3 linked regions of the Diceros bicornis minor genome follow. The protein of the gene in region 3 binds, or shares a complex with, the protein of the main gene of each other region. Links are inferred from orthologs where the notes say so. Each region holds a gene or a part of one and is shown on either strand. Other genes may lie near its edges. The genes, in order: DPF1, DPF3 and ACTL6B.

What was found.
Region 1: ACTL6B (region 3) and DPF1 share a complex: the UniProt entries of both Homo sapiens proteins name them as parts of the neuron-specific chromatin remodeling complex. The link is inferred for Diceros bicornis minor from reciprocal best matches to the Homo sapiens genes ACTL6B and DPF1.
Region 2: ACTL6B (region 3) and DPF3 share a complex: the UniProt entries of both Homo sapiens proteins name them as parts of the BAF complex. The link is inferred for Diceros bicornis minor from reciprocal best matches to the Homo sapiens genes ACTL6B and DPF3.

What each region holds. Positions count from the first base shown.
Region 1 is NC_080773.1:12,444,153-12,451,661, forward strand, and holds the start of DPF1 (zinc finger protein neuro-d4), read right to left. Parts: upstream 3,022-7,509; 5' UTR 2,993-3,021; coding exon 2,964-2,992; intron 1,607-2,963; coding exon 1,446-1,606; intron 1,373-1,445; coding exon 1,265-1,372; intron 1-1,264. UniProt on the Homo sapiens protein: May have an important role in developing neurons by participating in regulation of cell survival, possibly as a neurospecific transcription factor. Belongs to the neuron-specific chromatin remodeling complex (nBAF complex).
Region 2 is NC_080763.1:21,002,484-21,010,496, forward strand, and holds the start of DPF3 (zinc finger protein DPF3), read right to left. Parts: upstream 3,056-8,013; coding exon 3,043-3,055; intron 1-3,042. UniProt on the Homo sapiens protein: Belongs to the neuron-specific chromatin remodeling complex (nBAF complex).
Region 3 is NC_080765.1:5,161,458-5,169,314, reverse strand, and holds the start of ACTL6B (actin-like protein 6B), read right to left. Parts: upstream 3,035-7,857; coding exon 3,010-3,034; intron 2,545-3,009; coding exon 2,468-2,544; intron 2,264-2,467; coding exon 2,098-2,263; intron 1,810-2,097; coding exon 1,709-1,809; intron 1-1,708. UniProt on the Homo sapiens protein: Involved in transcriptional activation and repression of select genes by chromatin remodeling (alteration of DNA-nucleosome topology).

The sequences.
Region 1 (7,509 bases), on a different chromosome or scaffold from region 3:
CATACCAGGCAGGATGCCTAGACCCTGGGGGAGACACAGCCAGACCCCCAGATCCACTCGGACACACTCAGGAGGGGACATGGCCAGACCCTCATATACACCTAGATACATCGGGAGACCCCAGCTAGACCCTCACTTACACCTAGACACATATGGAGAGATAGACATTCAAACAGGATACACGAGATACACGTGGACAGACACAGGGGAGATACAGACGGGTCATCTGAGACAGGCAGACACACAAAGGAAGAGATACACCCAGACACTCAGATACACCCAGATCCTCAGATACACCCAGACACGTGGAGGAGACACCTCCAGACCCTTGGATACACCCAGAGATACTCAGAGACCATCAGACCATCAGATATACCCAGACCCACGTGGGGAAGACACAGCCAGACACTACCATGCACCTGGGCACACGTCGGGGAGGTACAGACACACCTAGAGAGAATCACTCAGATGGATACACACTGACATACACAGGGAGGTGCAGACTGTCCCTGTGAGGCAGTCGGACACAGCCAGGTGGACACTCCAATACACCTGGACCCACACAGACTCTTGGATACACCTGGACGGGAAAGAGAAACAGCCAGTGACTGATCGCACTGGACACATTCAGAAAGCGATAAGGCCAGACACTCTGGCAGACCAGTACACATGGGTGGAAATACACCTAAGACACCAGACACTAAGGGAAGAGATTCTCCCAGACATTCCAGAGCACCTGGGCACTCAAAGGAAGAGACAGTGGACACCCTGATACACCCAGACACACTCAGGAACAGCTGGATCCTCTGACAGACCAGACACACAAGAGGAAATAAACCTTCTAATACACTTGGAAACACCTGGAAAGAGACACAGACACTTAGATGCCCTCCACTACAAATGGAAGACTTACCATCAGACACTCTGACGCACCCAGACACACTCAGGCCCCCACAGGAAGAAATCCAGCCAGACACTCTGATCCATCCCAGCTCCCAAGGGAAGAGACACAAAGACTCGAGACACCTAGACACACACAACAGGTACCACTCTGCCCTCGAATACACCTGGGCCCAGTCACTTAGGGAACAGTGGAGAATCTCTGGACTACACCCAGACACACAGCCAGCCCCTCAGACACTCGCCAGAAGGGAAATGAAGGCGGATGCGCAGACACACACTGGCACCGCCACACACTTCTCAGCGGGGGCTGGGGGCACTGATGGCGGCCACCCGGGCAGAGGACGGACGGAGCTCCACCCACCAATCTTGTACTCGCAGGGCCGGAGTCTGGGGTCCTCCAGAATGTTGAGTCTCCGTTTCTTCCTCCAGCAGCGGGCGGGGTACGTATAGATCTGTCCCGGGGCCAAACCTGGAGGGAGAAGGGCGGTGAGAACCCGCCGCGAGGCCGCCGCCCCGCCCCACCCCGCCCTCCCTGCGGGTACCCGGCCCGCGGTGGGTCTTCTCCATCCAGATGTAGCAGTTGTTCTGGGCCACGCCGGTCTGCGAGTCGAGGAAGGGCAGGCGCAGGCTGCGCTCGGCGCACAGGCGCGCGTTGTAGCTGCGGCAGTGCTCGATGGCCTCGCGGTAGAAGTCCTCGCCTAGGCTGCGAGGGCGGGGAGCGGGCGGGCGGCTGTCAGCAAGGGCAGGCGCGCCGGGCGCCCAGCACGCCTCCCCCGGCCCGCGCGTCGGGAATGGGTGGGCCCCCTCCTCCAACCTCCCCTCTCCCCCTCCTGTCGCTCCTGGACCTCGGAGCCCCCAACCTGGGATTCGGGCAGGCCTCAAGCCAAGGAGCAGATCACACAATATAGAAAGAGACAAAAATACACCGGGACTCATCCACCCCTGCATATGTCCAAACACACAACACAGACAAATCACACATAGTCACACCGGATTCACACACAAAGAGAGACATATCCCAAGACCCACAAAGAAGCAGACCAATCTCACATATGTGCACACACAAATGTCTACTGAAAAACACAAATGTCACGTAGTGTAGAAGACAGATCACACATATATCCATACACAAACTCACATCGCATATCCAAAGACACACAACATAAACAAATCACCCACACAAAGACACAACATGCAAACAGACAGATCACACACACACACACACACTCATGCATCCAAAGACACACACAGATACACAAATGTTAAAAGAGGAGAAATGTTAAATTACCTACATATGTACTTACATATTCAAAGACACAACAAAAATCACACACACACTATCCAGACACACTGTACAAAGAAATCACACAGATTCATACAGGATACACACACACATTCACAAAGATACACAATACAGAAACCAACATCTAAAATACCACATATTCAAACACACAAAGATACACACATATACAGCACAGAAACAGACCAATCCACCCATGTTCACACAAAAATTTACACACAAATACATGCATACCCACACATCCAAAGCCACAGAACGCAAATGATGCACAGTTTGAAAGGGCATGTACACACACTCCAAGACCCAAATATCCAAAAATACCTAGTGTCCAATAAAAGAAAGTCAGCGCATATCCACACACATATCCACAAAAACCAGAACACAAACAAGTGACACACACTCCATGTCCCAAGACAAAGGTGGTGTGGGCTTCACTCAAGTTTAGCAAGGCCCCCGCACCCCCGGGCCATTTCACCGCCTCCGCAACCCCGGGGGTCGCGAGTCGGGACATGACCCCCTTCCCCGAAAAGGACCCGAAGAGGACTCGGAGTTCCCCACACCCTCGCTCCTCCAGGAGCAGCGCGTCGGACCCCGTTCCAGCCAGAGCCCCACAGTCGCACACGCTCGCACCCCCGCACAGCCCGGCCCGCGGTGACAGCCCCCCAGACACCCCGGCGGCCCCACCCCCAGCCGCCACACACACGCCCGCCCGCGCCGACCCGCCCGCGCGCCCTCCCCCGCCTCCCGCCGCCCGCGGCACCTCAGGGGGCCAGGGATGACCGTGGCCATCTTGCTCCCCGGGTCCTGCCCCCAGCAGGTCCCCGCCGGGTCGGTCCTCCCCGCGCTCGGGCGGGCGCCGAGGCCGCCCATCCATTCATTCCCGGGGGGCGGGCACAGCAGGGCCGCAGCCAATCGCGGCGGCGGGGCGGGGCGGCCCGGGTCATGCCGGGAGTTGTAGTCCGGGGCCGGGAGTCGGCGGGACCAGCGCGGAGGGGGCGCCGAGGAGGGCCCGAGCACGCACAGTCCCTCAACACGCTCACGCGTACAGACATCTAGTCTCACCGGCGTACGCTCACACGTGCACACCTGGACGCGCCCACACCCACACGGCAATGTACACACATTCACACGTATACTCACAGCCGCCCACGTAGACTCACGCACACCCCCACTCCCACGCCTCTACCCAGACGCGCATACATTGACACTCACACGCACACCTCATTGCCAGGAGGCAGAGACGCCTGCCTTCCAGGTGCCCACACAAGGTCCCAACATGCCCGCGCTGGCGCACGCGGTGGCTCACTGACAACGCCCCCTCCCCAGTCCCTCCTGGCTCCAGAGACCCCTGTCCCTTCCCACTCGGGGTGGACACTCTCACAGTGACCCCGCCCTGCTCGAGCCCCTCCGCAGGCCTGACAACCCTGGGGCTAGCCAGGAGTTGCCGCCACACCTCCTGGGTTCAAATCCGGGCTCTGCCACTTGGTGGCCATGCGACCTTGGGCAAATAACTTCACCTTTCTGGGCTTTAGGTTCCTCGTCTGTAAAATTATTAAATGAACAGATATGGGTAAAGTGTTTTAAAAGGTACCCGGCAGGGAGTAGGTGTTCAATAAATTCATCCATTCCACAAAGAGGATCTTATATGTACTAAGATGTCAAAGGGCGAGAGCTAACCGTTATTAGAAAGAAGAATGCCTGGCACATAATAGATGGTCAATAATATTTGTTGAGTGAATAAATATACGGAGGACCTGCCATGTGCCAGGCACAGTTCTAAGTGCTTTAACAGCAATTAACTCATTTAATTCTCATTATGACCCTCCTGGGTGGTTCTATCAGGACCCCATTTTCCAGATAAGGAATCTGAGACACAAAGGTGCGGTCCCTTGCTCTCAGACTCTGGTGGCTGTTTGAAGGTAGGACTAAGGGAAGGATTCTGTACCCAAGTCAGCCTTACCTCCTGCTATCTCCCACTGTCACCCGCACTGACTCTACCCTAAGGGACCCCCAGAGAGTGACCGAGTCACAACACCCACCCAGTCCCACGCACAGACCTGGAACCCACCCCGTCCAAAGTTTGTGTTCAAGTTTGAGCCCCTGCGTAGATGACAACGCCCACAACGGTCCTTGTCCACCAGAGGGCTCTCCAGGCGACAGAAGAGGCGCACCAGCCTTCGCTTCTTTTGTCACTTGATGCCCCCATCTACCCCCGGGTGAGAGAGACCCCCTCAAGGTCTTCCACACCCATGGTCACTTCTAAACACACGCACACACCCCCCTCTAGTCTTAGACCTCTTCCACAAACGCTCCCCCTTCTCCCCCAGGTGAGGGCTTGACCTTCCCCTCCCCTATCCCCAGTGGAAGGGCATGGGTCTCTGCTTCACGTCTGGTCTACAGTAGGTGGCAAGGGGAGTGAGTCAGGGACGCTGGCATCCCCACGCTCACTCTGGCCTCCAGGCGCCTATAGTGGCCACCCCACATCTCATCCACAGCAAGCCCTGCACCTGGACCCGTCAGCTCAGCCCAGAGAGCGAGCACCCTTGCCACCTTCCTCTCGTACCTCCCACCACCCTCACAGGTCCCCCAACACACTCTCACACTTGCTCCCCACACCTGCAGCCTCAGACCTGCCAGCTCACTCCTGCCCTGCCCCAACCCTGCACCCTGAGTGTAGAACACTCCATGGCCTCCCGGGAGGCCCTTGTCCACCAGCACGACTTGACCCGCAGACCCAGGCTGACGCTTGGAGAGGGGCCTTCCTCCCTTTCCGTACCCCTAGTCACCTTCACAGACCCCTCTCCCACACTGAACTCCCCTGCGCTAAGAACCCTCCTGTCCCCACCCCCCAGGACCCGAGTGAAACTGGACCACAAGTGAAATCAGTATTGATGCTATTAATAATCATCACTCCATTCCATCAGGATCAGGCTCTGTAGTAAGTGCTTTACAAAGATCATAACAGCCCCATGAGGTCATAAGAGCTGTTATGAGTCCCCAGTCCACAGATGGTAACACTGAGGCTCAGAGGGGGGCAATGAGTGGCTCAAGATGGGGCTTGAATCCCTGCAGTCAGAACTCCTGAGGGCTGCCCCCTGCAGCCTCCCACTCCCAAGGAGATTTGACTCTCATTCTTTCAGGAGTAGGAGCCCACCCTCACCCCTGCAGACCCTTGGGAGGGGGAGAGCAAAGAAGGGCGCTGGCATTCCCAGCCCAACGCTTGCTCTGGCCTCCAGGGCCCTGCAGTGGGCAGCCCCATAGCTCCTCCAAGGTCTGGGCCTGGGTCAGAGGGAGGAGGCCTGGATGCCTATAGATCCACCAACCTGCACAGGAACCCCATCCCAGCCAGTGTGAGGGCGTCCCTCACAGGGGAGACATCTGTCTGTGCGTGAGACTTAGAGTGAGAGGGGAGCAGAAGGGTGTCACGGTCACACACAGACCCCAGCCCCACGCGCACCCTCCAGGCCCTCTTCGCTCTCCGCAAAGCCGCAGGTGTAGGCGCGTGCTTATAAGCCCCCGCCCCGCTCCTCTCCCAACTTCCCCCGCCAGAAACCAGAAGCAACCGGGGCCTTTGGTTCAGCCACCAGGCACAGCCCTTCTGGGGGGAGGGGGGCGCTCCCGGCCCCCTCTCCGCTCCCCACCTCCCCGCACGCGTTGCTCAAGGTCAAGGCTGCGAGCGCACGGGGTTGGGGGAAGCGTGGGGAGGTCGTCCCGGCCCCTTTGTGCGGCGCCGCCGGCGTTCGCCCTCCGCCTCCTCCCCCAGGCCCGGGAGGAGGGGGAGGGGAGTCCGCGCTCGCCAGCCGGGGAGGGAGGGCGGGAGCGGCCGCGCGCCTGTCACTCTGAGCCCGCTGTCACCGCCTGGGGAAGGGGGGTGGGGAGCGCTGGGACCCGGGAGTCCGGGATCCCGAAGAGGGAGCGAGCGAGAGATGGAAAGAGAGTGAAGAAGAGAGGTGGAGATAGCGAGCGATGGCTAGGAGAGGGAAGGGATGGGAGCCAGCTAGCCTTGAACCCAGGCGTCCAGGTTGCCAGCCACTGGGCGCAGGAGGAAGCGAACGCACGGAGGACGGACGCGGACAGAGAGAAAGGGAGGGAATCCCCGGAGATTGAGGGAGCTCCGAGCACCCTCTCCCGAGGCATCTGGTCCCCACGGGGATGGGAGATGCTCTCGTTAGATGTGTATGGGCGGGGAGAGGGAGGGATCCCACGGTCTAAGCTGACCGGGGCTTCCAGGCTTCTGCGTCTTCAAGACCCGGGGAGGAAAAAGGGGAGACAGCAGGGATCGAACCGGGGACCCCCGACGTCTCAGCTCCCACCCTGCGGCCGCGCGAGCCGAGGTCCTCGGAGAAAGAGGGGGAAAAGAGAGAAAGGTGCTTTGATGAGGGGAAAGAGGGTGGCGGAGACCCCGGAGACTGAGGTCTGGACTTAGGCGTTCGTACTCCCAGCCCCATGCTGGGGCAGGCCCGGCGCCCCCAGAGACACGGAGGAGGAGAGACGGAGGAGGAGGAGAGGGAAGCCCCTACCCCCACTCTGGGTGGGGAAACGGCCTCCGCCACCCCCAGCCCGCGCCACATTCCTTCACTGACAGCGACAAAGAAGAGGCGCCCCCGCGACCCTGCAGGGCTCCCGCCCCAAACCCCATGGGGCGACAGGGGGTGTCGGGCCCCCCAGGGACGGGGGGGCGCGCTGGAGGCCCCCATTCAACTACCATCCGCGCGCTGCGTCCCCCTCCCCAGCGAGGGAGGGGGAAGGGCTCCGGGGGCGGGGGGTTCGGGATGGAGGGACGTGGACGGCGGGGACACTCACGACTTGAGCGGGTTCTGAATGGCGGTGGCCATGACCCGCTCGGCTGGGCCACCTCCGGCCCGGGGCGCCGCTGCCGCCGCGCGCGGGCCCAGCCCGGCCTGCGCCGCCCGCTCTGCCGCCCAGCGCGCTACGATTTCATTCATTCTTGGGGCTGCGGCGCGAGCGGAGCGGGGCGGGCCGGGGGCGGGGCTCGACCAATCCCCGCACCTCCCGGCGCACGACGGGACGTGGAGTCTAGGGGTGCGCGGCGGCGCCCGAGGGCGCCCCTGTCCGGACTACACGTCCCAGGGGGCGTCGGGAGGACCGCGCGCCCATTGGCTGCTGGGGATACAGGGCGGGGCTGGGTTCTCCCCAGAGCATCCTTCCCTCCTCCCTGGGGGTGCTCCATTCCCAGCTCCGGCTCTCCATCCTCCAGGGACAGCGGGCGCGGGAGCAGGTGATCCCTGGCCTCTGGGTCTCCCCAGGGTATGTGGATGACCCGGGGGTCTGTCATGTCTTCTTGT
Region 2 (8,013 bases), on a different chromosome or scaffold from region 3:
TGAGAGGTAAGAACCCTCCCAAAGCCTAGGCCGGGCCTGGGAAAGTGTAGATTGTTGCAGAAGGCTACATGGGGAAGGCAGAAGCAGTGCTCTGGGGCAGACTGATCTGATTATTTCTGTCTTCACCTGACTGATGCCATCAGATCTAGTTAGTAGTAATTTTATTTTCTTGTCTTCACATCCCTCCTCAAAGCCTTCCCGTCCCCACTCCAGACCTCTGATGATGCGTCCCTCCAGTAATGGTCTGGCCATTTATTCAATAACCTTCACATGCTGCCTCAGGTGACACATGTCCCAGACCTGACTATGAGTAAACTCATGGGGAGCAGAGTCCTTGGTTCACGTCTCCTTGGGCCAGCCCTGCATCTCCATCTGAGCCTTAGCAACAGCAACACCAGTAGGCAGCCCTTACGGTGGGCCAGGAACTGTGGTAAGTGCTTTAGAAATAGTAATGCATTCCATCCTTACACCAGCCCTACGACAGAGATGCTATTACTAGCCCTCATTATCCAGATGAGGACACTGCAGCTCAGACAGTGTAAGTCATTGGCCCCAGGTCACCTAGGGAGTGGTTGAGTCAGGATCGGAACCAGGCGTTCTTGTCTCCGAGTCTGGGCTCTTAACTACTCCACTCCACACTGTGTCGACAGTAAATGCATGCTGAGCCACTGGTACATTTTATATCGTATCTACCCACTTATTTCTGCCATCCTTTTTCAAAATAATTTTTGTTAAAGTAATAATAATAACAGCCAGCAGCTAACGGTCAGTGAGCGTGTAGAGGTGGCTAAGAGCTTTCCACTTAGCTCTCCCATTCACCCTGGAGATGCTATTATCAGCTCCATGCTCCATTGCCAAGCCACCTTTCTGCCCCACAAACACCAGCCTCCTCCTGGCTCAGGGCCTTTGCACCTGCAGCTCCCTCTACAGGCACGTTCTTCTCCTCATCTTTACAGTGGCTGAGTCTGCTCCTCCAGCTCCACTCGCTCCCACCTCACTCCCACTTCCCCAAGCTCCTTATCTACAGCACTCATTCTTTACCCATCACTCTGGTTTATGGTCTTTTTAGCACTTTGCCAACTATCAAAAATTATTTTGTTTATATTTACTTACTGCCTGTCTTTTCCCCACATAAGCTCCCTGGGAGAAAGACTGGTCTAGTTGGTTCATCCCTGTATTCCCAGTGCCTAAAACTGGGTGCCTGGCATATAGGAGGCACTCAATAAATATCAGGTGGATAAACGCTGTCCCCACAGGGCCTTACACAGGGGGCTGCACAGTTGGACACTTCCTTTCATGCGAACCCCTCTATCTGTTCTAGCTTCGTTTCTTGAGCCTGCACACTCTCCCAGGCACCTTGCTGAGGACTTCAGTATGTCACTGTACCCCACTATGAGGTTGAGAATAGTACCTTTATCATTCCCAATTTACAAATGAGGAAACTGAGGCCTAGAGAGTTTACACAGCTCACCCAAGACCACACAGAAGTAGAGTGAGCTTCAGTCCCCATCTGTCTGCCTCCCTGAGTCCATGATATTAGCCATTCTGCCACAGAGCCTCTGGCTGGGTCCCCTCGGTCACTCAACTCTCTTCACCCACATATCCCTAAATGTCTCAGCCTTACCTCTCCCCTCTCCCTTGCTCCTCTGTGCAGTGGCCCCTCCAGGTTCTCCCTCCACCATTCTTCTCCCTGCCCAGTGCCCTTAGAAGTCTGTCCTGTGTGGTCAGCCACTTACCCTCTTCTCTCTGCTTTGTGGCCTGGGCCAACAGCAGAGGCTAGCAGTAGATCAGAGAGAGGGAAGAGAGAGAGACGGGATATTAATTCCCCCAGCCTCCTCCTTGCTGGGTCACTGGAGTGTGGCTGCGTCCTTCCACTGAAGGTGCCAGCTCCTGTCAGGCGGTCCTCTCCATACAGTACCCTCTGCAATCTCGGTGACCTTCCCCTCTCCCTGGGACACCCCTCCCCCCGCCCCAGGGTGCTGCGTTATCCCCTTGTAGGTTCCCCTGCCCACACTTTTATAAATAGCCAGCTTATTAAACACTCCTCAGTTTACTGTGTTTGAATCTGCTGCTTTCTGCTGGAACCCTGACTCTTCAACACATAAATGCACCTGGCCTCTCGGCATCCTCCAGCCCCCCACCACTGTCACTGCGCCCTGCTCGCTGCAGCTGCCCCTGCCAGGCCCTTCTTCACTGCCTGGGGTGCCATCTCCCTCCAAGACCTATAAATAAATGTTGACTTGCCAGCTTGGAGGTTTGCCCTGGCAGCCTCTGCTCTTTGCCTGGGCCCCACCAGCCCCTTTGCTAACCACTGAGGCAATACTAGGGGGCGAGGGGTGCTCAGGGGAGCCCTACAAGGGCCACAACAAGCTGTCTGCCCGTGCCTAGAATGAAAGCAGGGGTTATCGGGTCCAATGCAGGGATCCGCTTTGCTGGGATCAGGCTTGTCCTGTGCAGGGTGTTGGGGCGACCCTGCGGATGGTGTACTGGTAGCTCAACAAGCCAACATCACAGCTTCAGTAATCAGAGGAGCATTTGTCAAGCTCCTGCTATGCAGCAGGTACCCTGCTCAGCTGCCATTTGGATACATCACTCTCATATTCACAGATGAGTTAACTGAAGCTCAAAGAGGACAAGGAATTTAACCAAATCACAAAGCTACTAAGTGGCAGAGCTGGGATTACAGGGCAGCCCAAATCCACAGACTTCAATTTCCTACTAGTTACCCTGTCTCACAGCCAATCCCTTCATTTGGCGGGAGGGCCACAGACTCGAACCCAGTCCAGGCAGGCAGCTCAGAGACGCTGGCCACCCATGACCAGGAGGGGGTCAGGTGGAGTGGGCTACAGGTTAGGGAAAAGAGTGTGGAGGGCTCCATGCTGCCTAGAGTCACTTTGTCCAAGGGCATGGTATGGCTTGCCCAGAACAGGTGCTGACCAGCCCGGGGGACTGGAACAACCCCCGCTGCTCCTTCCTGCAGAGCCACCAGGGAGCCATGTGCACACACCAGCATTTCAACCAAACACGCGCGCAGGCACCTACCCTTCACGCCCATGCCCGGGACAGTCACAAGGAAACTCTGAAGGGGAGGGTGGAGGGACCAGGCAGCAACAGAAAGGGAGGAAGGCTTCCTACTGTGGGACCCGGAGCAGCCTGTGCTTCCTCAGCTCCTCCCTGCAGCCAAAATTTATATTCCCCATTAACAGAATCCAAGGACCGGAGGGGTTTTTTTCTTTTTGGAAGGCAATGGCCAAAAAACCCACATTCTAGTGTTGGGAGTGATTCTTGGAGGCAAACATCCTCACTCCTGAGAGGACACACACACACCAGCTCTGCCACCACACAACCCAAAATAGCTCACACTTCGGTCCTGGCTCTCCTGGGCTCCCGGAGAACCCAGCTCAGCACAGTCTCCTGACCTCGGTCCACATGACTGCTGGCTGGCTCCATTCCCCAGGGGAACAAAGAGCTCCCAGGACACGGCAGCAGTGACACCTGCTCCTACAGACCATTCCCCCCAACCAAGCTCGGGTGTCACCGTGGCCTTGTCTGATGTGTCCTGACAGGACATGGTCCAATTAGCAGAGGCCATTTCCAGTGACCCAGCATGAGATGGGGCCCAAACCTCCAGAGCTGTCCTGAAACTCCTCTCCCCACCCGATCCCTCCAAATCTTAAATCGTTGAGGTGACATCTCTAGGTGAACAGCTCCCACAGCATTTTATAGACCATTTGGAAAACATCCAGAACAGAGAATGCTCTTTAAAAAAAAAAAAAAAAAAACTCCTGAAACACAAAACTGAGTTTCATCTTAAAATCTGTGCACTACTGTAATTTGAATACTCTCACTCCAGTCAAAAACACTCTCTACCCCTCCCTTTAAACACCAAAATTTAATCTCCCCTAAAGATAGGGTGATGGCAAACATGATTACACCCAATTAATATATGGAGAAACTGAGAACAAAAGAAGGAAAATCAATAGAATTGCCTTGCTCTGACCACTGCTGCAAATGAAGTAATAACTTGAGGGAGATTTGGCGAGGCGGGAAACCAACAGTGTCAGACGGCAGCGGTGAGGCAATTTAACAAAGCAGCAGCATCCCACATGAACTGGCTGGGCAAAGAAGATCACTAAGGCGGACAAGACATTCCTGGGGCTGGAGGGAGGAGGGGAGACAGCTGGGGTCACTTGCCTTCTATTCATTTTCTCGCGTGAGGCTCATCAGTGGTAAATTCTCATCTCTCTCACAAAAGCAAGACATAAAAGAAAGCAAAAGGGAGGAAACATTCGCACAAGCTGCCAGTCTATTAGGGACATGGGTAATTTCTAGGCAGGCAAAGGCCATATGGGCTCCCCCTGCAGCTTCAACACTAAGTTTATCTGCATCATCACTCTCTCCCCTCATCTCCCTTCCAGATACAGGGAGAAAGATAGGCAATTAACAAGCCCGCACCCAACATCCACCCTGGATCACCAGCTGGGCCATTTGGAGCATCCAAAGACGGAGTAAGGGATGCCTCAGGGGAAAAGGAGACCTTGAGAAATCCCCATCCCCATCTCCCGCTCAGTGCCTGGAGCTCTGTTGGATAGAATATCCCAGGAAATTCAACAAGAATTTAGTTGGACCAGCCCACGAGTCCAGATGCGAGATGCTAAGTAAGATAGCCAGCTCCATGTTATCTTTGCACCTGCAGGAGTAAACGCCTTGCTGTCCAGTGGGTTTCCTGGCAGCCCCTCAGTCTCCCCTGCTGCCTCTGGGTGGGGGTTCCTACAGCTGCTCCTCGCGTATGTGAGTGACAGTCATTCATTCACTTCACCAGTAAATGTTGAAGGAGTGCCTGCTCCATGCATGTCACACCATGTGAGAGCCAGCAGAGCATTTCGATGAAGGGCTGGGCACTGCCGTTAGGATGCCAGGTTTGGGGCCAGCCTGGTGGAGTAGTGATTAAGTTCGCGTGTTCCGCTTCGGCAGTGCAAGGTTCGTGGCTTCAGATCCCGGGCATGGACCTACACACTGTTCATCAAGCCATGCTGTGGCAGCATCCCACATACAAAATAGAGGAAGATTGGCACAGATGTTAGCTCAGGGACAATCTTTTTCAAGCAAAAAGAGGAAGATTGGCAACAGATGTTGAGGTGATGTTGTGAGGTGATTAAAAAACTATACTAGCTGTTTAGAAATCGGGGTTCTAGACTCAACTCTCCCAGTAACTGAAAGACCTTGCTAAATCTCTTAATAACCATTTCTACATCTCTAAAATAGACATTAAAAGAAAAGCACCCTTCCCTGTCAACTTCCTTAAGCTGTTGTAGCAAATGAGACAGGCTGTGAAGACTCTCTCTTGAGTACTTTCTGCCATCACTAATTCTGCTTTTTCTATAAGCAGAGTTTTACTTATTGACAATTTCAAGTGTTTTTATATCCTTTCATGAGTTCTATTTACCTTTGTTCTATCTTCCTTTTAAGATTCTGCTCTCTGGTAGCCATATTTTCGATAACAAAAAAACAAGGTAGGAAACAGTTAAAATTATCCTTGATGGGGAGGAGAAAACTATTGCTCAATCCAAAGATCGCTGGTATTTCTGGCTCTGAGGATGACACGTGACTAAGGCAGACATGACACCTGCCTGGTTTACTCCCTGGGACCAAAGTCCCAATGGAGAACACTGGGTCCCCACTAGGCTGCCCCAGGGGCTGCCGGCTGCTGAGGATGCAGCCTGGTCTCCCTCCCCTTTCAGTGGCTTCTGCCCAAGGTGGGAAGTCAGAGGCTCCAAATGCCAAGTAGGGCTCTTCCCTGGCCTCAATTCCCGCATTGGGCCGTGTCATGGGCTCAGCATAGCAGAGTTCTGAGCCCATGGCTGGCACGGCTGAAAGGAACCACTTCATCTCAGCAACTTCTCCTCCAACAGCAGAACCTGGTTGAAAGTTCACAGAGTGCTCCAAGCACTTCGGGACCCTCTCGGGTTATTGCCTTCTTCCAAAACTCCAAAACCCTTGAAAGTCACAGTTGTGGAGTAAACATCAGGTTTCCTTATACCCAAGCATCTCGCACGTGTGTAGGAGGCAGTGCAAGACAGTCTATGCCCACTAAGCACTGTGCTCTCCTCATCCATTGCATCATGGGGGCTGGACAGAGGTCGGGGGTGGCCACTACTCAGACTAGGGGTGGGATTGAAAGGGTGGGCAGCTCTGGTCCCCCTGAGTGTCCTGGGTCTTGCTTCATAGCGCAATTGTAAGATCCCAACCTTCCATCAATCCATCTTCCCTGTGATGGGCATGGCTGTCTGCCCACAAAGCTGCCATTCCACCTCCTTCCACTAACAACACCTCCATTTTCCTCCAGGGAACCACCTCTCCCCCCTCCACCAGTCTGGCAAAATCAACCCCACTCCCCCCCTCAACTTTTGAGACAGGCTGTGACCCAGCCCTCCAACGAGGAAACCACCTTCCCAGAACTTAGTGATTGCTTCAAGGGTGAACATGTGGTCTAAGGCAGGAAAATTAGGGTCAATCTTAGACTTTCTGTGGGAAAGCAGCAGGGAGGCCTGTCTGCAAAGGAAAGCCACATTGAGAGAGAAAGGGGGCGGACTGGCCCCGTGGCTTGGTGGTTAAGTGCGCACGCTCCGCTGCTGGCAGCCCAGGTTCGGATCCCAGGCGCGCACCGTCGTACTGCTTCTCTGGCCATGCTGAGGTCACGTCCCATGTACAGCAACTAGAAGGATGTGCAACTACGACATACAACTATCTACTGGGGCTTTGGGGGAAAAAAGAAAGAAAGAAAGAAAGAAAGAGAGAGAGAGAGAAAGGGAGCCCCAATGGCCTTGTTGAGTCCCTAGACCCAGTCCCAAGTGAAGCAGATGCACTCCTGAACTTTTAGTTACCTGAGCCCGTACATTCCTCTTCATGCTTGAGCAGTTTGAGTTGAGTTTCTTGCCATTGGCAACCTTAAAAAGCCCTGACGCACATTCCAGAGTTTGGTTTTACCAATAGACTTTACACAAGGCTGAAGAAAAGGCCAGGGGCCCCACTCAAACACCTCTAGTCTACTAGAACCCAAATGCTTTTGAGATAAAGATGGTTCACTGTGGCCACTAGGTGCCACTCTTCAAACTTGAGAGGCAGTCAGAGTCAGGGAATGTAGACGGCAGCTCAGTGAACTGCATTCTCTGGCTCACCACAGTCCCCACCACTCCCTATTGTCTTTACCAAGCCCATTTTCCTCATTTACTTTACCTTCTTGGTCCCTTTAAGTACATGAGTTTACCATTCCTGATGGATATAGATCAATGGATCAACTGCTCAACAAATGGATGAGTGGATGGGCAGACAGGCAAGTGGTTATATATTTGCAAATTGAGCCTATATACAAACAGGCGTGACAGAAATAAAGAATAAAACTCTCAGGCCACTGCAGTCAGGGGACCATTTGATAATGTTGGAATGGAAATAAGCACAGACTTACTTCCACGTGGTTTTGGTCTTTGGAATACCGGAGGATGACTCTCTGGAGTATCGCAGTGACTGGAGGATAAGCCTCACCCCACAGTTGTTCTCCTTCCAAGCCAGGGTGGTTAAGACAATCCCACCAGTACTGCAGCACAAGGAGAAACCACTCCTGACATCCACGGGCAGCCACAGCAGATGAAAAACTGGCCCTAGGCAGCAGCCTCTCCTCAATCCCCAGCGTCTCCTCGGATCTGGGCAGCAGCCACAGAAATGGAAAGAGCTACAGACGATGCAGGTGCTGCATTTGCTGTCTGGACTTGGAGTCATTGCAGGCAGATGTCCACAAATGTATCCATGACACTCTGGCCAGGGAACGGGGATATGAAGAGTCCAAGGTGATCATGGAAGGACACTAAGTGGCTCAAAGAACTGAGAAAAAACAGAAAGATAGCAGCAATAGAGACCAGGCTCAGAGCCAAAACAAGGCCTGTCCCCCTGCCACCTGCCTGAAGGCATCACCATGACCTCAGGGAGGTAACTGGTGACTCACACAGAACCTCATTG
Region 3 (7,857 bases):
AATAGGATGTTCTAAAAAGTAACATTCACGGAACAAAAAAAAGAGCTCTTGGAAAATAAAAACACAAGAGCAGAAATGAAAAACTTAATAGAAGAGTTGAAAAATAAAGTTGAGGGAATACCTTGAAAATTAGAGGAAAGATAAAGAGACAGAAAACATAAAGAGAAAAGATAATAAAATTAGGGGACAGTTCAGGAGGTGCAAAATCCAAATAAGAGGGTTTGGCAAAAAAGAGAACAGAGAAAATCAAGATAAATAAATCATCAAATAAGCAATTAAATTTTTTTCACTGACTTAAAGACTAGGTTTCCAGATTGAAGTGACATACTAAGTGTCTAGAGCAATGGATAAAAATAAACCAATATCACATTGTGAAATTATACAAGACTGAGGACACAGTGAAAATTCTATAAACTTTCAGGAAGAGAAAAAATTACATCAAAGGATCAGGAATTATATGGTTTCAGCCTTCTTGATGGCAACAATAGATGCTGGAAGACAGTGGAGAAGCACCTTCAAGATTCCGAAGAAAAATGATTTCCAACCTGGAGTGTTATACTCAGCTAAGGTATCAATCTAAGGTTAGACATGCAAGGTCTCAAAAATCTTACTTCCCAAGACCTTTCTAAGGCAGTTACTGAAGGATGTACTCCATGAAAACAAGGTAGTAACTCAAGAAAGGGAGTCATGAGATACAGGAAACAGGACTTCTAACACAGGAGAGAGGCAAAGGAATTCCCTAAAATGACAGTGCAGGGAGATGTCAGATGATAACTATGTCCTCTGCACAGAAGGCAACTAGTCCAAAACGGAGCAGATCAATGGGTTCCTGGAGAGATTTCCTCAAGATGATGAAATTGATAAAATTCCTAAAGGAATTAATGTCTTGAGAAAAGATATAGATAACCGATGAATGAATAATTTAGAGTCACATTTTTAAGTAGATAGAAAACTATGCAAAATAAAAACCAAGACAATTTTCAGTTCTAGGAAAAACAAAAAGCTGCATAAGAAAGGAAAAGTAGCCATTGTTTATTGCCCGCCTCAGCCCTGATTAGCATACATAATCAAAAGAGTGTAAATAACAAATATTGGTCTTAAAAAAACCCTAAAATACAACTGTACTTAAAGATGGGGAATGAGAAATATGTGTGTTGGACTGGGGGAGGAAAGAGAGCTAAATGTTCACCTTCTAAGGGGGAAATCCACAGATAATGCCTAAAACTAAAAAATCAACAAGCAGCTATTGGAGTGTGATATTCAGAGATATGAAAGATATGACCAAAAAAATTAGCTAAAAGAGAGAAAAGCAGTTGCCTCTGGAAAAGCGGAAATGGAAGGAGGAGGGTAAGAATGGTAGCTTTTTTCTTAACATACTTTATAAAGCAAATTGATTTTTTATGTGCACATATAATATTGACAAAAATTTTAAGTTAAAAGGTCAAAAAGGGACTTTGGGAGGAAAAAAGGGCAGTGGATAAGGCCGACTGGAGGATGGGGGAGTAGATATAGTGGGAGGAGAGAGGGAAACATGGAGACTAAAACAGCGAGGAAGGAAAGTAGTTGAAGATGATGGAGTTGGAAGGAAAGTCTGAAAAGCCAAGTGGAGTGATTGATAGCAGTGGCTTGAGGGGCAAGGTGAAGGGTGGAAAGGAGATGCTGGGCTCAGGGCTGGACTAGAGGCTGGATGAGATGATGAGACACTTACCGGGGCCTCAGACATGAGCACTGGGTGCAGGTTTGGCTCAGATTTGACATGTTTGCTGTAGGTGTGGTCCAGGATGGCACGGAAGCACTCCCAGTCCTCGACTGGGGCCAGGAGACCAGTGTGGAGAGATGAAGATGGGCAGGCAGGGGTTCCGGGACAGGAAAGAAAGGGAGGAGGGAGGCCAAGTTCAGGGGAGGGGAAGGGAGACCCAGCTCCAACAGAAATCCCTCTTTCCCAGGAATCTGGTGGGGCTTCTGGGTTGGGAACCAGGTGGCTGTGGGAAGCAGTGAGGGGATCCCCGGGACTTGGGCAGCTGCAAGGAAGACTCTTTGGGTGGATGTGGGGTGCTCCAGGTCTATGTCAGGAGATGGTGAGTAAAGACCCCTTACTCATGCCATTCTTGAGAGGCGACATGACCTCCGCTCCATCCCGAGGCACGTGCAGGGCGTTGGTGTCGATGTGAAAGATCTTCCCTTTCTTCTCTTTCTCCCCCTCCAGTTCCAGCCCACCCCCCTCCTCCGTGGCCAGCAGCCCCACCGTGGTGGGGAAGTCAGCCTGGAAGCGGGGATGGTAAGGGAAAGGGATCAACCTCTTGCCCCTGTCCAGGCCCACGGCAAGGCCCTCAGCCCGCCCCTGGGTTTACTCCCACATTCCCGCTCAGCAGAGCTTTGCGCTGTGCATCGAGAGGCCTGGGCCACGGGAAAGCCTGGAGGGGAGTCCAGAGCCCCTAGGATTTGGGGAGGGGGCTTGAAGGCTCACCTTGGGGCAGTCCTCCCCAGCGTACCCAGCGCGGACTGAGAAGGAGCCAATGTCAAAGACCAGCGCCCCCACCTCATCTGTGCGGGGAGACAGGCGTGTAAGGGGGACCTCTCCCCAAATCTCTCCCCCGTGGATAGTCCGGAGAGGAGGTCAGGGCAGAGCTACAGTCTCGCCACCTTCAACGCCGGCCGGGGCAGGTGGGAGCTCGGCCTGGAGTCCGGGTCCTGGGAGTGGGGGTCAAACCTCCAGAGTCCCTTCTTGCCCAGTGGCCTTGTTCAGGCCACTCTCCTTGCTGGGAAGGAAGGGGCCGGGGACCAGGAGGAGGTGGGTTGAATGGCGGAAAGGGTGGGTCCAGTGCGCGAGAGCGTCCCGTGAGGGTTGAAGGTAGGAGTGGCGCAGGACCCAAACCCCGGGCTGGACCCGCTCGAGCGCCGAGGTGACAGGCCCCGGGTGCCCAGAGCTTGGGTCGCGCGGGTTCGGGGCGCGGGGCTGCGGGCAAGGCTGCGCCAGGCTGGGGAGCCTGAAGCCCGAGGCTCGCTCACCTCCGCCATAGACGCCCCCGCTCATAGTGCCCTTTCAGCGCTGCTCGCGGCCCGTGGGCGGCGGCGGGATCAGCACCGAGGAGGCCGGACAGCTCCCAGGATCGCGGGCGGGGCGGGGCACCAGGCGGCCAATCGGGAGGCCGGATCCACTGCCCCCAACGGCGCCGCCGATTGGCTGCGAGGCGAGACAATAACCCGGCCGGGGGCCGCTGCTTTAAAGGTGCAGACACCTCAACATTAGGCAGCCAGGAAGGAACTAGGTGGAGGATGGCAAGGACATCCAGACCGGCCCCTAGGGATAGGCAGGGTAGAGAGAAGGCATATGAAAGAAATGGAAACCTTGTCCATCCGGAAACCAGGACTCCGCAGGGTGACTGATGAGGACCCCTGCTCCTCGCTTTTTTAAATGGGGTCTAGGACAGGGCGCTATAGTCCCAGAGAGTCATCCATTCTCAGGCTCCTGAGTATGGTTTGCCATACCCAGGCCTGAAGGATATCACCTGGAGAGGGAGGGAAGGGAAGAAAGAAAGAGAGAGGTGCGGGAGAAGGTGTGTCTCCATCTTCTCCCTGTTTCATTCCACCCTTGTCTTTCTGAGGGGCCCTCTTTTCCTCGCTGGTCCCCTGGTGCCTGGGCCTTATACATACACACATGTACACACATTCACACATGGGCGCTCAGGTAACCCAGCTTTAGCTTCCTTTCTCTTTCCCTCTCTCTTCATCTGTTCTCCTCAGGAGGCATTTATCAAGCAAGTACGTTTTCCACTAGTTGGCTCCTCAGTTCTCCTAGGCTCCTGGCATGACCACACCTCCACAGCAGTTTTGACAGTGAAGGTGAAGGAGCAGCTCTGACAGCCTGGCTTAGCTGAGAGACTCTAATATGTGAGCATGTGTGTAGGTGTGTGCCTGTATGTATGGTTTGTGTGTTGGTATATGTGTGCCTGTGCATATGTATGTATGTATGTGTATATATGTGTGCATGTGAATACATGTGTGTTGAGGGCTCTCCTACCTACTTGTTTAGGGGTAGAGGGAGCATTAAGACCAGAGATGGCAGGCCAGCCCCGTGGCATAGAGGTTAAGTGCGCACACTCCACTGTTGGCAACCCAGGTTCGGATCCCGGGCGTGCACCGACACACCGCTTGTCCAGCCATGCTGAGGCTGCGTCCCACATAAAGTGGAGGAAGATGGGCACAGATGTTAGTTCAGGGCCAGTCTTCCTCGGCAAAAAGAGGTGGATTGGCATGGATGTTAGCTCAGGGCTGATCTTCCTCACAAAAAAAAAAAAAAGACCAGAGATGGCAGAAGAAGAGGGTACTGTATGATGGCTGCATGCCCCTGAAGGTTCTCTGCTCACCAGATGCCCACTCTTGAAGAGACTCCACCTGTCCCCAGCCAAAGGACAGATGGTTTGAGCTGGCTCATCAGTTACCCACTGGCAACAGTGGCATTTCACATGCCCAGGGTTGGTTCCAAGTCCAGCCTGGCTCCCCAGACTGGAGGAGTCCAGGCTTCAGGGGGAGGGGTGAGCTGTAGGGGACAGAGCTGACTAAGGAGCCGGGAAATTGCAATATTCCTGAGTGACCCTAGGTCAGTCATTGGCCTCCCTATAAATTGAGGCCTGCATGAATTGGATGAGCCCTTTAACCTCCCAGTGCCTGCATTTCTTCATCTTTCCAAATGCGGAGGTGAGGATTAAGGGAACACTGGAGGAGAGGAAAGTGATTCTATTCATGGCCTGCAACTCTCCTTTTGTTGACAATGACGTTGCTTCCCTTCCCCTGTAAGTTCATCTTGTCAATTCCCACTACCTCTACCCCCTCCCCCACCCTACTCAGGATCTCAGATTCAGAAACTGCCTCCGTTGGGAGAAACCTTACTGATCATGGATCCAAACTCTGGGTTTTACAGGGGTTTCCCCAGATAGAAGCCAGGCCCTGTCTTGGGTCACACAGCCCACTGGGGCAGAGCCGGGACTCGAACTCACATCTCTTCTCAGCCAGTTGAGAGATGACCTTGTTCATAACACCTCTGTGTTCCTCTCCAAGCTTCACTGTCCCCATCTGTAAGATGGCCGGTGATGAGGACTCTATCTGATGCCAGAATGAAGTCCCTGGCTAACAGCTGGGCACCCAGGACCATCCAGTAAACACTGAGTCCTAAGAATGTCCCTGGGGAGTTTTTGAGGCTATCATATTATTATTCATAAATTAGAAATCTGTAGCCTACTTGGTAATGAGAAGTGGATTTTCCTCTCATGTAGGCTGACTATAGAACCTCCCAGTCAACTGTGGCCCGTTTTTATTTGTCATGGGATCTGACATGATAGTCTATTGTATTATGGAAGTGCCTAAGGTGAAGGTTATTAATATACTTTGTTCGTCCATTCATTGATTCAACAAACATCTTTTATGCGTGCAGTGTGCCAGGCATTGCGAGAGGCATAGGAATACTGAGGTGCATAAGAGATATCCTTGCTCTCGAGGAATTTTGGTGCAGTGGGGTGCTCAGACGTGCACAAAAGTGGGGTGAAATGGAGGCCCAGAGGAGGGAGGGGCTACCTGTCTCCGAGAGTCCAGGGAGGCTTCTAGCAGTGAAGTTCAAACTGAATTGTGAAGGATGAATAAGGGCTCACTGGTGAACAAGGTGGGGAAGGTCTTCCACACAGAGAACAGCATGTGCAAAGACCTAGAGACGTGAACATTTCTGGCATATGTCGAAATAGTTAGGAGCTCAGTCTAGAAGGACAGTTGGCTATGAGCTGGTGACAGAGACCAATATCAGGGGGAGATGAGACTGGAAAAGTCATCAAAGACTAACTTGTTCATGCGTGAACTCTATTTTTATTTGGCAAACACAAAGCATCTACTCTGCCAGGCACTGTTATAAATGCTTTACAAATATTAAGTAATTTAGTCCTCATAATGACTCGATTATTATCCCCATTTTGCAGGGGAAACAGAGGCATAGAGAGGTTCAGTAATTTGCCCAAGGTCACTCAGCTGGTAAGTGATAGAGCTGAGATTTGAACTGTGGCATGTGAAAAGTACTGATCTGGGGAAAATGTTGCCATGCTTCTATTCATTTCATAGATGTTCTCTAGGTCCCTGATAGGCACTGGGAATAGAACGGCTCATGTAACTTCGCATGGAGTGTAATGTCTATCCTGGAAGATGGACGATTAAACAATTAACTCAATAAAATCATCTGGAGGTTCTCACATTCTAGGCCCACATTCAGTTGGCTGAGCACCTGGTAATGACGTCAAAGGTGGTAAGTCAGGACCCTCAGACCCCGCACCTTGGAAATGATTTGGCATCTTGTGAGGGTCTGTTCATTGCTTGGTGAGCTCTTACCTCTCCAGAGCCTCTGCCAGACACAGAGGTGTCTTGGCTTCATAGGGAGCCCCTAGTGCAGGTGGCAAGTGCCCAGAAATGAACAGTCCAGTAAGGGCTGCAATCGGAAGGGAGCCAGCATTGCAATGGGGCAGCAACAACAGTGTGGCCAGGGAGGCAATATTTAAACTAAGCCTGAGAAAATGACCTGAATTTTCCTGGCTGACAAGGAAGTAGAGTTGGCGTGGGGATGGGAGGTATTCTGAGTAGAGGAGACAAGACCCAGCCCGTGTGCCATGCAAAGAAGTTTGGCCCTTCTCTTGGAATCAATAGGGAAATACTGCATGGCTTTTAACAGCTAAGGTATATGATCCAATTTGCATTTTAGAAAGATATCTCTGACAGCTATATGGTAGGTTGATTAGGGAGGGACTATTGTAAAGGCCAGGAAATAGGCAAGAACTAAGGTAACAGTAGTCGGCAGACAGTTGAAGGGATGGATTTAAGCAAAATTCCAGAGGGAGCACTGACAAGATGTATCCACCAATGACATAGACTGCTAGCCTCACATCAATAGCCATCTTCCATCTTTATTTATTAAAAATGCTTTAGCTGGGTATATGGCTACAGACTACATTTCCCAGCCTTCCTTGCATCTGGCCAAATTCTAAGTAGAAGTTAGTGGTGTCCTTCAATAGGAAAGAACGTGTGCTTCCTCCCACCCCCCTCCCCTTCCCAATAGATGGCATTCAGATACAATAGTGGGAGCTTCCTGGGCAACTTTGGACACAGAGATGGAAGCTACATGTTGAGGATGGCAGAGATGCCCCCACAGTACTGGAGGATCTATTTTGGGGTTGTCGCTTAAGCCACTGAATTTTTGGGACTCTTTGTTATAGCAGTTTTGACTACACCCTAACTAGTTGACTATCCTTTGGATATGGGGAATGAGGGAGTGAGAAGCTCCTGATTGGATGGTGGATGCTGTTAACTGGGCCAAGAGATTCAGAGAAGGGGTAGGGTTGGGCAGGGTAGGGTGAGGTCGAAGAGGATTAATTTAGTTTTGAATATGTTGAGTGTAAGACGTCTGTGAACAGTGGTGTGTAGTAAATATTTTAACAACCAGCTCTTTGAGGAGATGGAGCCCTGATCTGAAGTGTTTGCTGATTTCCATGGTGTAAATACTCCTACCATGTCAATTACAAGTTACTACTATCAACATGACTTCATTGAACAAGGAGTTGGGAAGAGAGGTATACAATGGGCTCTTGTGAGCTAGTCTGAGCTGGCACCAGCTGACTCCAGTACACCACTGTCCATGAGCATCCAGATGGAGATATTCAGTCTGCAGTTGGACAATCACCAAGTCTGCACATGGGGAGAGACATCTGGGCTAGAGATAGAGATTTGAGAGTTATGGCAATTAAGGGGTAAAGTCAGAGTAATGGATGATGTCACCAGTGAACAACATGGAGAGTGAGAAGAGGAGGCTGAAGTTGGGATCCTGGGAAA